Linked DNA regions of Schizosaccharomyces pombe. Changing the gene in region 1 together with any one later gene gives a genetic interaction. Each region holds a gene or a part of one and is shown in the gene's direction. Other genes may lie near its edges.

Region 1 (4,573 bases):
TTGGATAGATACGAAACTGAAGGCGGCAATTTCGTTATCCGGAGATGTACTTGCGACACATAGATAAAAAAGATGATTATTAAAGCTTGACGAGGTTTTAAATACCGTAGGATTTCTAGTTCATCTGACACTTTACAAGATATTGTAGTGAAGCTGTGGTGATCAGATCAATTTCTTTAGAGAATAGATTGGAAAACACTTCGCTTAATCTTTTTACATATAAATACTCTTACTGACGAGAATTTACATTGCTTATCATGACTGAAACTGTAACTACTACGTCGAGCGACAAGTCTGAAAAAAAGAATTATTTGTTCTATACTTCTCCTAATCACAGGCCTCCCACTGTGGTTCGTGCTGAAGGCGTTTACTTATATTTGGAAGATGGTACGAGGATTATGGATGCTACTGGAGGTGCAGCAGTCGCCTGTCTTGGACATGGAAACAAGGAGGTAATTGATGCTATGCATAAGCAATCAGAAAAGGTTTGCTACATACACAGCATGGGGTTTTCAAATGAACCCGCAGACAAACTTGCAAATTTGCTAGTATCTGAACATCCCGACGTTTTTGCCCGAGCTTATTTTGCCAATAGTGGGTCAGAGGCCGTTGAAACATGTTTAAAGCTTATTCTGCAGTACTGGCAGCTCGTGGGTGAAAAACAGAGATGCCATATAATTGCCCGTAAGCAAGGATACCATGGAAACACTTTGTTTGCTCTTTCTGTTGGCGGAATGAAACCTCGCAAACAGCCTTATGAAGGTGTGTTTTCTCACACAACTTCCCACGTATCTCCTTGTTTTGAATACAGGTATAAGGAAAACGGAGAGACAACCGAAGAATATGTTGCTCGATTAGCTAAAGAGCTTGAGGATGAAATTCTTCGCGTTGGTCCTGAAAAGGTGGCAGCGTTTGTGGCGGAGACAGTATCCGGTGCTTGCACAGGTTGTGCTACCCCTGTCCCTGGCTATTTCAAAGCAATGAGAAAGGTTTGTGACAAGTACGGAGTGATCTTTTACCTCGACGAGGTTATGTCGGGTATTGGCCGTACGGGAACAATGCATGCATGGGAGCAAGAGGGTGTGACACCTGACATTCAATCTATTGCCAAATGTTTAGGAGGTGGTTATCAACCCATTTCTGGAGCGCTTGTTGGTCATCGTATTATGAACGTGTTTGAGCAAAAAGATGCTGCCATGGCTGGTTTTTTTACATATCAAGCCCACCCAATTGCTTGTTCTGCTGCCCTGGCGGTGCAAACTATTTTAAGACGAGATCATCTTGTTGAAAGGGCAGCAGAAATGGGTAAATACCTTTCGGAAAAATTACATGAGACTTTTGACTCTCATCCCAACGTGGGAAATATTCGAGGCCGCGGTTTGTTTTGGGGACTCGAGATCGTTAAAGACAAAGCTACCAAGGAATGTTTCCCTCCTGAATACAAAGTTGGTTCTCTCGCCAACAAAATAGGTTGCGAGCATGGTGTTTTCGTTTATCCAGGCATGGGTACAATTGATGGCACCAGAGGAGACCACGTATTGCTGGCTCCTCCGTATATTATCACTCGCGAGCAAATAGATGAACTAGTGGAGGCTCTTAGCAAAACCATTACATCTACAGTTGCGGCCCTTCCTTGAATGTACGCAAGTTAACGAAATTCCTCTTTATCAGTTATAATGTTTCAGATAATTTGGATATACTTATGTTAGAAGACCTTTGGTCATGGTATAATAATTAATTTTATATGAAATGAATTTACAATGCATTAATATACTTTCTCCGCTACGACCCTTCGTTGTAATAAAATTGATAATTCCATACGGCTATAGGGTAGACGATGGCTCGCAATCATTTGAAAACATGTTCTCTGCGTAAACGCGTTTCTATATAGTTTGAATCAACAAACGTAAAAAACAAAAAAAAACTTGGACAAGCCAGAACTCGAATCTGGGACCTCTTCCATGCTAAGGAAGCGTGATAACCATCTACACCACATGCCCATTTTATTATACATTACACATTTATAGTATATTACAAGCATAGTAGGCAGTATACCATAATTTCAACTATTTAATGTATAATAAATAGACACATTATTAGCCAAACAGTTTGGATTGTTTTTGGGTTATTTTCATAATGTAGAACCAGTTGCTAATACTTCGATACAAGTTTAATTTTAAAGTAATATATGTCTATTATTTTACCTCTTCATCCAAGCATCGATGGTGTAGCGGTAACATCAATGCCTTCCAAGCATTAGCTCCGGGTTCGACTCCCGGTCGATGCAATGTTTTTAGCCTTTTTATAAAAAAAATGCAATGTTAGTTTAATAAAGACGATAGCCTCGCTTGCTAACATCATGTTTTATAGTCTTGGCTTACTTCCTTAGAATCTTTACTACGATTGCTACATTGACATTGCATGCAAATCAGTTCCTAGCTGATGGATCCGTTCTACAATTGACGAACAAAAGATATTTGAAATTTGTTAATAAATTAATTGTTATTTTATTTATATTTCTGTAACGCTGTCGAGACGGACAATCAGAGAAAATGCTGTTACAGTTTACGAAAGACCATTTTTTAAAGCCATACTAGTAAAAACGACACCATGTTAATAATGATTTGACTAGAAATTTTATGAAAGAAAACATTCTTTAGTCATAGTAGGATGCAAAGCTATTCCGATTGTATAAGCAGGGGAAGATCGGTTCCCTATCGATCGTTTGAAAGGTCAGCTAAATACGCTAAATACGATTTTACGGGATCACATTGGTAATGTTGTAAAGTAATATCAAAGCGAAGCTAACAAATTGGTAATATTTATGTCGTGATTCTTCACTACCTGTACTTTCTTCCTACACCAGAAAGAAAATCTCAGGTGTTATTGTAAAATTGTTTTTATTTTGGTACCGAAATTCTGAAAGTTGAGTAGTAAAAAGTTCAGAGTACTTCATCCTGAACAGAGTTTCACTACTTTGATCATTTTATCTAGCCTTTACAAGTTAAAGCGATTTAATACTGATCAGCATTGACACCAACGTTTTTGGTTTTACAGGTGTTGTTTAGAATATAAATTTATATACTGCAGCTCTGCATCAACCTTTCTCCTTCCCCTCTAGCATTTTTCTTGCACACTTTAAGCCTGTCAATGGACGCCCCCAGAAGATCTAGCAGATTGGCAGCCAAGATTGCAAACGTCTTGGATAGCAAAGGAACGATTATTCCTGAAGCTGCTCCAGTAATGCTGAAAAAGCCTGCAAAAGATGAATCAGTTGATTCAACTATTCAAGTGGGAGACGTAATTCCCGATATCACTTTGCCTGACGAAGATGGAACTTCCATTCGACTTCGCGATATTACTGCAAATAAAGGGCTTGTAATTTTTGCCTACCCAAAAGCTAGTACTCCTGGCTGCACGAAACAAGGTTGTGGTTTTCGTGATAACTATCCTAAGATACAGGCCTCTGATTATGAAGTTTTAGGGTTGTCTTTCGATACTAGCAAAGCTCAAAAAGCTTTCAAGGATAAGCAAAACTTTCCTTATCATTTGCTTTCGGATCCTAAAGGTGAGCTAATTAAAAAGTTAGGCGCTGAGAAGCCTGGTGGTGGAAAGCTGTTTAGAAGCCATTGGATCTTTGAGAAAGGTACTGGCAAATGCATAGTGAAGGAAATTGACATATCACCTCTTGTCAGTGTTGACAAAGCCTTTGCTGTAATCACTGATTCTGAACCTTAGTTGACAAATTGTCTACGCTCATTGTCAAATTTGGAGGATAGTCTACATGCCTATTGCTATATGATTCATGATGAAATTACACTTTTTTATGTCTTGCTACAATGTGCTTCAACCCTGAAGATACATTCAAATATGATCACTACACAATTTTATACAAGTTGATGGTCCAAGTTAGTGTTGTTCTTATTTTAGTAACGTTGAGATTAGATTAAATAGTTGCCGTATATCTAATACAAATATAGCTCCAGCAACGGTGTAGATTTTTGGTTCATTACGGTTAGAAATCGTAAATCATTATTTTTTAACAAATAACTCATTTTGATTAGAAAAGTTGGAAGTTTCATAAAAAGAGGGAAATCTTCCTGTATTCGTTTATCTTTGTTAGTGCTTTATGGTAAATATTTGCGGTCGTAAACAGAAATTCGCTCTTTACAGCCCACAATCAAATGCTCCAACTTATCGACGGGTGAGTTGATCCAAAGAATATCTGATAAATCAGTAATTTCCTCTTGAGCTTCTCTGCTAGGTAAGCTTTCGAGAGTTGAAAGTTTATCGTCCTGCCTCAAGAAAAAGACTCTTCCATCAGATGCACTAATCGCGAATTCCGGACGATTTACAGCAAACGCAATACCAGTCAAAGAGACTTTGCTAATCGATTTCTCTGCAAGCAATTCCTCACTCTTTACATCGAACACTCGCACCATGCCATTTTCATGCAGAGAATATAAGCGATCAGGGTTACCATTTTTCCATACGATCTTGTTGATCCTGTCTTTAACAGCCGGATTACCAATAGCAGAATTTCCAGCAATGCGCATTTGGCTTACAAGAATTT
Region 2 (6,289 bases), 3.1 Mb from region 1:
TTGCATAATTTTCGAAATCAATTTCGATGGGATTATCTCCCGTGGAATTCATGTGCATTCCATCCATTTTTTCGCTTTTTTTTGCAAAATGTTCAGAAAAAAGTTAACTAATTGGTGCCAAAATTAATTTTGGAAGAAAAAAATTTGTTCAAATCAAATAAAAGGGAAAACCGAGTTGGGTTAGCAGCTCTACTTTATTCCTTTTTCTTTTATATTTATAAATTAAACCCTGAAAACTGAGTTCCTTAAAGCATCAAACGCATGAACTATTAGTTAGTTCACTTCTGGCTTCAATTGGAACTTTTAGAATCTAAAAAGAGTTAATAACACTTCTGCCATCATCGATATATATGCAAATCAAGTGGAGTGATTTTTGCGCAGACATATCCGCTCCGGTATCATAGCATGAAATTCTCTCATCAAAATGTGTTAACTTGTAATATGATGCTATTAACCTACCTTTTTATTATATATAAGTATATATAACAACACTATTAGAAGGGAGAAAAAGGGATTCACTTTGAGAATGGGTTATGGGAGTGTTTAAGCTGAATCGGACGGTGACGGAGTGATAACGATCAAGAACATTCCTATTGGCTTACTTGGCTAAGCATCCTGAACCTATCTGCAGCTACTAGAACTACTCACATAAAAAAAGTTAGAACAACATAACAAGAAAAAAATTTCGCATTGCTTGTGTTGATTTTATAACCGCCATGGAACAGGGGGGTATGCTGGACACATTCAATCGTTACTTTACAACATGTAGGGCTGGTTACTTATAAATTTCCTTAAAATGAGGGACGCGCCTGCCGGTGCATAGTTTAAATATAAATATATTAAAGCAGTAGTTTATGTAATACATATTGTATTTATCAGATGAGAATTCTATTGGTATTTTAATAAACCTATAAAGAACAATATAAGGGTTAAAAAATAACAAGTATTAGTGCCATTAATGGCAAGTAGCGTTAAGAAGAAACGGGTCCGGTTTTTTTGCGATTTGGCAGAGGTCGATTTTCGGGATTATTTGGAGTCCAATTACCTAATGAATTGGTAGCGTAAAAGTCCATAGGATAAACTTCCTTCCAAGGAACAACATTAAAAGCAGCAGATGCTTCATATGGTGTCAACAATGGAGCGGGAAATGCATAGCCCCAATCTATGGAAAGCCTTGGACAAGCGACCTGAATCCACGCGTCAATATCAGAGAATTGACCCAATCTACTAGGAAAAATTTCTGACATTAAAACGCAAACGAAATCTTTATTATTTTTCCTTAAAGTATTCTTTAAATTTTCGAGTACCTTAGGAGACCCCTGTCGACCCAGTGTACCTTGAATTAGACCGAACTTTTTAGCGGTACGAGCTTTCTCAACGGCGGAATACCGAATAGATTTCATTTCTTCATGAGCATAAGATTCAATAGAGAGCTTATGTGAGTAAGGATCATAGCGGTATGCGGGCAAATCAGGATTAGCAATCATGACAGATTCCAAATGGAATCTTCCGTCACCAATGTAAATTAATGCATCTACAGATCCTTTTTCAATATAGGGAGATGTACATCCCAACGCCTCTCCAGGAGATAATGGCTTTGCTTGTGGAATAACAACGTAAAAACCTCCCTTTCCGTCTTCATCCTGTATTTGCAAAGCGTCTTTTATAGAGTTGAGAGATCCAACAAATTGGATAGTTCCAACCAAAGCTAACCTAGAATTGGAGGGTAGATTATGTTTTAAAGATGATACGACATGTTGCAAATCTATCTTTATATCCACGAAAACATATAGCACCTTTATGGGCGTTTGATCAACAGGTATAAGACAAGAATGACCATAGTGTACTAAAAAATCGCAATCGAGTGCCCTAGCTGTAAAATCGTCAATACAACACGCACCGTATGTAACGTCGCCCATCACAATTGTCTCGACCTGGCAAAATTGTTCAAAAATATCAGACAATATACAACCAAACATCAATAGCCCCTCGGGAAGTTGCAAGGCAACACGTTTTGCTTTTCGTAAGCGAATATGCCAAATGGTTTTGTGAATTTCAAAATTGTAATTTTGCGGTAACTATTAAAGGTTAGCTGACCAAGCTTTGATGTTTTTGAGAAAAGAAGAAACTAATTTACGGCATCTTTCTCTAATAAAAGCAGCTTACCAATTTTATAGCTTCATTAATTGCTTTATCGTTTAATATATCCTCTGGGATTTGAGTAGCTACTCGTCCAGCGCTCCTCTTGGAGTTAATAGTGACGAGAGCAGCATTTTCAACATCTCTATTAGAACCATCCAAATTATTTTCCTTCCTATTTTTTTTGCCAACAAAACGACGTTTTGGAATTGATTTTTTCACTTCCGCCATTGTGTTTTAAAATTATAAAGTCTATTACTAAAACCCTTTGAAATCCCAAGAAGTAACCAATGCTATGTATGTATTTAAATTGATAGAATGCCAAAAATCCTTTTTCCCTGCAAATTGCTTGTTTGTTAAATTAAAATACAATAGGATCCCAAATAATTTACTAAGTAAAAAAGCATTGCACTTTGCTATATTATTTAACACACGTTGTTATATTACGCTATTTCTATCGGAGGTTGGATCCACGAATACAGCTTCACCTCCGATCATAGGCCACGAAATTTGAACGGCTAACGCTCCTTTAGATTGTTCCAAATTAATTTGCGTGAATAAGCTAAAGCTGTTTTTAGTCACAATTGAAGTTAAATGACCTCTGTCATCCAAGATGAAATTCAGTCATAGGTTTGTTGCATCAGTTTTCACAAGACTTGTTCTAATTACTTTTTAGTCTTCAATTTAATGCAGTACCGGAATGGTCCGAAAGCTACATTGCGTAAGTAAACAACCTGTTGGATTACTTCCGATTTTTGCTAACAATCGGTGCTTAGTTACTCGAACCTTAAGAAGCTGTATGTTTGAAAATTCTCGAGCTTACGACTGGCTATTATGATATATCCTATATTCCGACAAATTCATACTTGCGAAATTTGGGATAATGTCTGATTAACAGCCGGAGAATAAAATTGTACTTGAATTTTGCTAACATATATTTTTAAGTATTTATTCATTGGAACATGAACAGATAACATTACAACAAGGCGCTCCAGATGAAGAAACTAGGCTGTTAGAGCACGAAAGAAGATCACCCGATGATCGCTTTATGTTTGCTTTAGACAAGGAATTACAAGGAATTGTTGAATTTTATGCTCCTAAAGAAAAAGAAATTGCTGATCAGTATGGTAGAATTAAGGGCGAATTTGAAACCTATGAGAATGAGTATATGAGTCAGGGAAACAACATTAATTACCCTACCCCTGAACGATTACAAAAGAGCTCAGCGAGTAGGAAATCTGGTCGTATGGCCCGCAGCCAAGAATTGCCTCGCATTACTTCTTCAAACCGTGAGATATATCTCAATGGGCAAACTAGTGATGGAGGTTATGCGGCCCCTGCTATATCTAGAGCAGAATCTACTGCTATTCAACCGTCTGAACCTCATGATGTCGATACTTCTAAAAACGGTTTATCAAAAAAACAACATTCAGAAGCTCAACCTGAGGTACAAGGCAATGATGATGAGGTGGAGGAGGAAGATGATGATGATGATGATGAAGATGAGGACGAAGATGAAGACGAAGATAACAACAATAACAATCGATGGTTGCTTATTGAACAATATCCATCTGATATTGTTGCGTACGAAAACTTCGTTTCTTTAAAGCGAAAACTGACACAGTTGTATGTTTCAATTCATGACTTGATTTCGTACGTCCATCTTAATTATACTGGTTTTTCAAAAATCTTAAAAAAATATGATAAAACTTTGGGTAGTAGCCTTCGTGAATCGTACATGAAGCGCGTCAACCAAGCTTACCCTTTCCTTCCTGCTACTGGGAAAACATTGTCAAAGCGTTTAAATATTGTTGCAGAGTGGTATGCTAAGCTATGCTGTCAAGGCGATACATTTGTGGCTATCCGTCGCCTTCGTGGTCATCTTCGTGAATACGTTGCATGGGAAAGGAACACTATTTGGCGTGAAATGATGGCTATGGAGCGTCGTACTCAGGCCGCGAGATTATCAGGACTGAAGCCTGTCGCAGCTGATGAGAAAGAATCAGAACAGCCCCCCTATTTTACAATCAAAACTAAATTTGGTGTTTTTAGAATCCCAAGATGCTTCTTTAATAGCACGATTGCAACTTTAATTACTATTATCGTTATATTTATTCTCTTATTAAGTTTTCCTGTCATAGATAATAGGGAACAGAACAATTGTTTGGCTTTGTTAGTAATGGTTTCTTTATTATGGGCTACGGAGGCTATTCCTTTGTTCGTTACTTCGTTTTTGGTTCCTTTTATGACTGTGTTTTTGAAAATTTTGAGAGATGAGAACGGTTCACCTCTTTCTGGAAAGGAATCAACAAAGGTTATATTTAGTTCGATGTGGAATCCAACTATAGTTTTGCTTTTAGGAGGTTTTACCATTGCAGCTGCTCTAAGCAAATATCATATTGCTAAAAGGTTGGCGACTTCCATTTTAGCGCATGCAGGGCGTAAGCCTAGAAGCGTGCTTCTTACAAACATGTTCGTTGCCATGTTTGCTAGTATGTGGATTAGCAACGTTGCTGCGCCAGTGTTGTGTTTTTCTATTATTCAGCCCCTTCTGAGAAATTTACCAGCAGAGTCCGATTTTGCAAAGATACTAATTGTGGGTATTGCTTTGGCATCTAATGTTGGAGGTATTGCTTCGCCTATTTCATCCCCACAAAATATTGTTGCGCTACAGAATATGGATCCCGCTGCGGGATGGGGTGAATGGTTTGCCGTCAGTATTCCTGTATCGTTACTGTGTATATTTTCTATATGGTTTCTGTTGTCTTTTGGATTACTGAAAGATGAGCACATCACTTTAGCTAAAATTCGCTCCACCAAGGATACATTTACTGGTGTCCAATGGTTTATTTCCATTGTTACGATTGGTACTATAGTCCTTTGGTGCCTTGAACGCCGCTTCGATGAGGTGTTTGGTGATATGGGTGTTATTGCATTAGTCCCAATCATTGTATTCTTCGGAACAGGTTTGTTAACCAAGGAGGATTTTAATAATTTTTTGTGGACAGTCATAGTTTTGGCAATGGGAGGTGTTGCGTTAGGAAAAGTAGTGTCTTCTTCCGGCCTTTTAGAACTTATTGCCCTTAAAATAGGTAATGCTGTTTCTTCCCTTAATACATTTAGGGTACTGCTTATTTTTTCTGCTTTGACTCTTGTTGTTTCTTCATTTATTTCTCATATAGTAGCTGCAATGGTGGTACTTCCCATTGTCCATGAAGTTGGAAGTCGCCTTGCCGATCCTCATCCACGTCTTTTCGTTTTGGCTTCGGGAATGATGTGTAGTCTTGCTATGGCTTTGCCAACCAGTGGTTTTCCTAATATGACAGCTATCATGATGGAAAATGAAGCTGGCAAAAGATATTTGAAAGTTAGTGACTTTTTAAAAGCTGGTATTCCTGCCACACTAATTTCCTTCGTGATTCTCCTATTAATTGGAACACCAATCATGCGAGCACTTGGATTTTAACCTCCTAATTTGTAAACGGTACTGTATCTTTCTTTTTATAATTTTTGAGTCGAAGCATGTTCTGCTGCATAACACATTCATATTTGTCAATTCTACTTAAATAGATTTTAAATCATTGCATTCGAAGATAAAATTATGGTAGCTTAGTGTTCCTACGGATCTTAATGTATTTATATGTTCACTTTATAATACGATACAAAACAAATTTTATCTCTCCTTTGTTTCAAATTGACTGGCAAAAAAAAATAACAAATAACTAATCACAAAAACCTAAGGAATATGAAAAATAGTTGCTAATTTTCGTAGAAACTTGGATCTTGATTAGAAATGAACCAAATTATGCATCATTCAAATAGATTGTAGTGTGTATGGTGCAGCGGGAACGTTATAATTAACCATCACCTATAGTCTCAAAATGTTACGCAAATTGCCCATCAATTTTGCGAAATGGACTGTAAAAAAGGTGCCAGTTCAGCAGAAAAGATTTAATAGTCAACAAAAAGAAATCTCACCTCATGTAAGCTTTTCTAAATACGCTTTAGGTCATAAATTTTATCTGTGCTAAAATTCATTCAAGCATTTTTGCATTGTTTTATTTAACATTATTTTATTAACGATCATAAAGATTATGTTTTATAAAAACTACGCTAGACCTCTTGGTAAAGTGACGCTTTTTGCCTTAGC
Region 3 (4,720 bases), on another chromosome or scaffold:
TAATACCAAATAAGATGATACCCAAAATCCCCAATACGTACATAGGAACAGAAATCATAAGCAACATCTTGAAGCGACCAAACCGCTTCATGAGAAAACCTGACAGGATAGCCGTCGTAGTCATTGAAAATACAAAAACATTAAGGGTAAGGCTACTCATGTCAATTGATAATCCATAAGAGACTTGAAGGAAAGAAGTTAAAAAATTTGAGAAAATATAATAAGACATGAAATATGTGAAAATTAAAACGCATGAACCAAGGATGGTACGGTCTTTCAAAGATTTTAAGGCGAAAACGGGATAGCGTGCATATTTGACGTCGTAGAAGCATAGGGTTACTAACAAAGCAATGGAGAGAGTTATAGTAAAGAGAGTTAAAATTGTTGAGTCTGGTGAAACTACCTGACTCGAATGGGAAAAAGGCAGCAACAAAAGCGTAAAGCCAGACACAAACAACACTATTCCAAGACCATCCAATTCCTGCCAAAACAAATAAAATAGTCTAAGTTTTTCAGGAGTGGAATGATTGATCAAGTTATGATGTTCTCTATATAAACCTGCAGCCTTGGCTTTTCTTTGGTTTAGGAAAAGCGAAGCCAAGAGAGGTAATGAAACTGTTGGTAAAATGAACGCCCATATACCATAACCCAATCTCCACCCATAATTTTTCTCAGGATGAAAGGCTTGAGCAAGCACTGGTCCAATCCAAACAGTTGCAAGATAGGGAAGTTCTGGGATAGCAGAGAGAATCCCCCGATTGAGTAGCGAAGATGTGTCTGCAATAATTAATTGAGATAACAGACCTAGCCCAGTTTGGCCGCATATATAGAGGATATATGCTACGGTAAACATTTGAATATTTCGAGAAAATGCCAATGAAAGATATCCCAACACTGTCATTCCTAATGCTAAACTAAGACTCTCCGAACGTCCAAAGACATCGGCAGCCTTTACCATTGGTGCTCGAACAACTGCTAAAAGAATATTGCCCACCAAATTGATTGTAGCCAAGTTTGAATGGGCGGAAAAGTTGCTGGTTGCGTATCTTTGCAAAGAATACGTAGTTTGCTGCTCTAATGAAGATGCAAATGACAACAAATAGAGACTAAAAGAGAAGACATTGTGTTAGCTTGATCATACCACAAACACAAACATTCAACAGATGTATGCAAACACTACGTGATTTATGGATTATCATGACTACAATACTAACATACCCAAGGTAAGCAACAATAATCGATCTTTTAGACCATGTTGAAGCAATTGCCTCAGCTTTGGAAACACCTTCTAGTGACAATTCTGAAGTACGATCATTTATGGGTCCAGCATTATCAAGCTCTTCTCTAAGGGGATGAAATTGCTGTTCTAAATTTTCGTTATTACGAAAACTCTTTTTACGATGCTCCATGCTTCCATAATTCTCAGTCATCCAGAGTGTATGGTAAATGGCAGTATGCAAAAGGTACGCCAACACAAATTATCAGATCGTATAGCAAATTAGAGTTTATCTAACCGAGATGTTTAATGAAGTTGGTAAACAATAATAAATAAAGACTGATGAAATGCAGACTAGTTAGTTAATAAGAGGTTTTTGGTTGCTTTAAGAAGCGGTTAAACTTTTTTAAATAATAGAAGAATTACACTTTGACCCTTTCTCCGAGGTTCAGGCTAAGCCGCCAATTTGATGTTCCCGCAATTAACTCCTCGAATTTATGAGTGATGGCTTCAATAGGGTATTCATTTGTTCAGAGTATTCAATTTAGTTTCTAGTCACACTTAAACATTTTGGAAGTATTAAAAATTACAGAGATTGGTAGCAGACGATTTTACAGCATGCTCGAAATAGAAGCATTAAGAAGAAATTGCAATATCACTCAGACTAATGAAATCCTTCTAAACACGAAAACATAATCTAAAGAATTGCTAGTAATATCACAAATTGCTGATAATTAGAAGGTGTTTACATTTATGGCAACAAAGATGAATGATCTAGCAAAAGAGAGTTTCAGACCAAAGAAAGTTGATGCTTTTCACTTTATAGATTACTCAAGTATCTACTTTAAACGGAAGTAAACAAGTTACGAAGGTAAAAAATTTCAAACATTTACAATCTTAAATTAATAAACCTATGCTTCAAAAAAAGACAGGAGTTACTCTTCTAATAACACTTCTTCACTAACTAGTTGTACTGGATGTTCTGTAACGAAAGAATGGACTGGGTTTGCAGTTTGGATAGTGTATCCAGCTCTCATAAAATTTGTTTGCTTTTTGCAAGCTAAACGTTTGACAATGGTTTTTCTTTTTCAACTTAAAGCACTTTATGCCCCATCAATTAGTCCTTCTTACTGGAAACTATATTTTTCTTGTCAGTTTGGAGTTCAGCAACTTGTCAACTACCCACCACTTTGGGAAGTGGTTAAAAATAAGCAATGCGGAATGACTGAGACTGGCAGAACCAGTAAATATCGTGTTGAAATTCAACAAATGATGTTCATTCTAGGGGAGGTGCAGGATCCTCTCCCAGAAACCACACAATTAGTCGAAGAGCTAATACGTGGACAAGTGATGGAGATGTTAATTCAGGCAAATGAGCTAGCTTTACGACGTGGCTCAAGATCTATTACTGTGGAAGATTTATTTTTCTTAATTCGCCATGATCGTGCAAAGGTGAATCGACTAAAGACATACCTGTCATGGAAGGAAGTGCGCAAGAAAGCGAAGGAGCAGGATGCCAATCCTGCCGATACAAAAGATCTTTTTGAGGAAGTAGATTCAAAAACAAGGTCAATGAATGCAGTTGCTATGCCTTGGGAAGTAAAAAATATGTTTACAGAGCCTGTACCGGAAACAGAAGAGTTTGAAGAAGATAACGATACGATGGAAATGGCATATGCGACGCGACAACGTCTTAAAATGGCAGATGAACGCACGAAGAAAATGACGCGTGAGGAGTATGTTCATTGGAGTGAATGTCGACAAGCCAGTTTTACTTATCGAAAAGGCAAGCGATTTCGTGAATGGTGTGGCATGTCTATTCTAACAGATACTCGCCCTGATAATGATATTGTAGATATACTTGGCTTCTTGACCTTTGAGATTGTGGCTACCTTAACTGAGGAAGCACTGGCTGTGAAAGATCGAATGGATCGGATTCAAAATAGCTCGGGTAGTGGAGGCTCTCATGCAGCGCATCATCCGAAAAATTGCAGTTTATTTGATGGACTTACTGAGGGGAGAACTCCCCTTCAAGTTTCTCATGTTTTAGAAGCTTTTCGTCGTTTGCAAATCCCCGATAAAACTCATACTGCTATGCGCAGTTTTCATGGGGGTTTGGTCAAATCTCGTGTGTATCTTATCTAATCATTTTCACTGTCTCTTCTTTTTTTTTAATTGCTGTAAGGCTTCCATTTACATCTAAATGCCCTGTTTTCCTGTAATTACCCATACTAGGTACGTATATGTTATTATCCCCATTACTGGTTCTCCTTGAAACAATATGGTTTAGATCTTACGAAAGCCCCTTTACTTTATGGAGATATTAACTACTCAATATATTTCATCACATTAGACTGTTGTCTTGCATCTCCGATTGAATTCATAATTTTATTTCTATCTTTCCACTAAGCGATATTCTTAATTGCAGCAGTGGTAGTATTTGGACTTTTGGATTTTTTAATATCAAATTTTTCTTATTATACTGGAATCTCATGATATCTGTGAATATTTGCAAATCTTCTTACCAAACTTCGTTTACTCTATACAAACTGCTGATTTTCGTAATGAACAAGGGGATCATCCTTTTGATATCGTCAGTGCGAAATTTTTAAAAAACAAAGGGTTTCTTTACGTTTTTTTTTTGTTTTCGAGAACATTTGAACTTCATCACTGAGCGTCATTTTGATCATACCTTCCACCTTAACATCATACATACGCCAACTCCAAGAATAACCGAACATTCGTATTCCGAAGCACTCACAGTACTTAAGAGATACAAAATTCAGGAATTTTAAAGACTTTTTGATTTATTATAATTGTAATTCTTTATAATTTTTTGCTATCCGAAGAATTCGCTCAACAAGATTACAACATGACATCTGGATCTCCCAAAATTACAAATTTGCTGACTCGTGTGAAGCGCATCATTCCACCACTTCTTGATACCTTCCACAAAGGTCAAGCCGGTCGAGTTGGTGTTTTTGGGGGTTGTCAGCACTACACAGGTGCTCCGTACTATTCTTCGATGTCGTCGATGCTCTTCGGCAGTGACCAAAGCCACATATTTTGTGAAAAAGAAGCTGCAAATGTCATTAAAAGCTATTCTCCTGATCTGATTGTTCATCCATTTTTACGTGAAAAGGACAAAGCTGGACCAGAAGATAGTGTCGATAAATGCTTTGAACTTATAAAGCCCATGATGGGAAGATTGCATGCCATCGTAATTGGGCCTGGATTGGGACGTGATGAATGGATGCAAGAGATTATGGCCAAAGTAATTGAGTATGCGCGCAAAAATGATATGCCTATGGTTATCGATGCTGATGGCTTGTGGTTAATTCAACAACGTCCCGAATTGGTTTCGGGTTATCATAATGTAATTTTAACACCTAACGTTATTGAGTTCAAAAGACTTTGCGACAAGCTTGACATTAAGAGTGACGGACCCGATGCTTGCAATCAGCTAGCTGGCAAACTAAATTTGCTCATCATTCAAAAAGGCCA

The links.
Region 2: mutations in bcp1 (region 1) and plt1 together harm fitness more than expected from each alone (negative genetic interaction), as found in Schizosaccharomyces pombe (one large-scale study listed by BioGRID).
Region 3: of bcp1 (region 1) and spt3, changing one suppresses a phenotype caused by changing the other (phenotypic suppression), as found in Schizosaccharomyces pombe (one large-scale study listed by BioGRID).

The regions. Positions count from the first base shown.
Region 1 is NC_003423.3:283,103-287,675, reverse strand, and holds bcp1 (thioredoxin peroxidase), read left to right. Parts: upstream 1-2,859; 5' UTR 2,860-3,150; coding exon 3,151-3,738; 3' UTR 3,739-4,073; downstream 4,074-4,573. Other genes in the region: SPOM_SPBC1773.03C (aminotransferase), read left to right, coding at 258-1,637; csc3 (WD repeat-containing protein), read right to left, coding at 4,128-4,573. UniProt on the Schizosaccharomyces pombe protein: Thiol-specific peroxidase that catalyzes the reduction of hydrogen peroxide and organic hydroperoxides to water and alcohols, respectively.
Region 2 is NC_003423.3:3,384,948-3,391,236, forward strand, and holds plt1 (phosphate transporter), read left to right. Parts: upstream 1-2,670; 5' UTR 2,671-2,752; coding exon 2,753-2,769; exon of another isoform or gene 2,770-2,815; coding exon 2,816-2,860; exon of another isoform or gene 2,861-2,915; coding exon 2,916-2,936; exon of another isoform or gene 2,937-3,084; coding exon 3,085-5,605; downstream 5,606-6,289. Other genes in the region: SPOM_SPBC3B8.06 (uncharacterized protein), read right to left, coding at 1-67; diphthamide biosynthesis protein Dph1, read right to left, coding at 972-2,078, 2,167-2,370; mitochondrial F1-FO ATP synthase peripheral stalk assembly factor Ina17, read left to right, coding at 6,021-6,122, 6,231-6,289.
Region 3 is NC_003421.2:1,440,565-1,445,284, forward strand, and holds spt3 (SAGA complex subunit Spt3), read left to right. Parts: upstream 1-2,389; 5' UTR 2,390-2,437; coding exon 2,438-3,361; 3' UTR 3,362-4,036; downstream 4,037-4,720. Other genes in the region: siderophore-Fe(3+) transporter Str2, read right to left, coding at 1-1,106, 1,219-1,430; NADHX dehydratase Nnr2, read left to right, coding at 4,089-4,720. UniProt on the Schizosaccharomyces pombe protein: Component of the transcription coactivator SAGA complex. SAGA acts as a general cofactor required for essentially all RNA polymerase II transcription. At the promoters, SAGA is required for transcription pre-initiation complex (PIC) recruitment.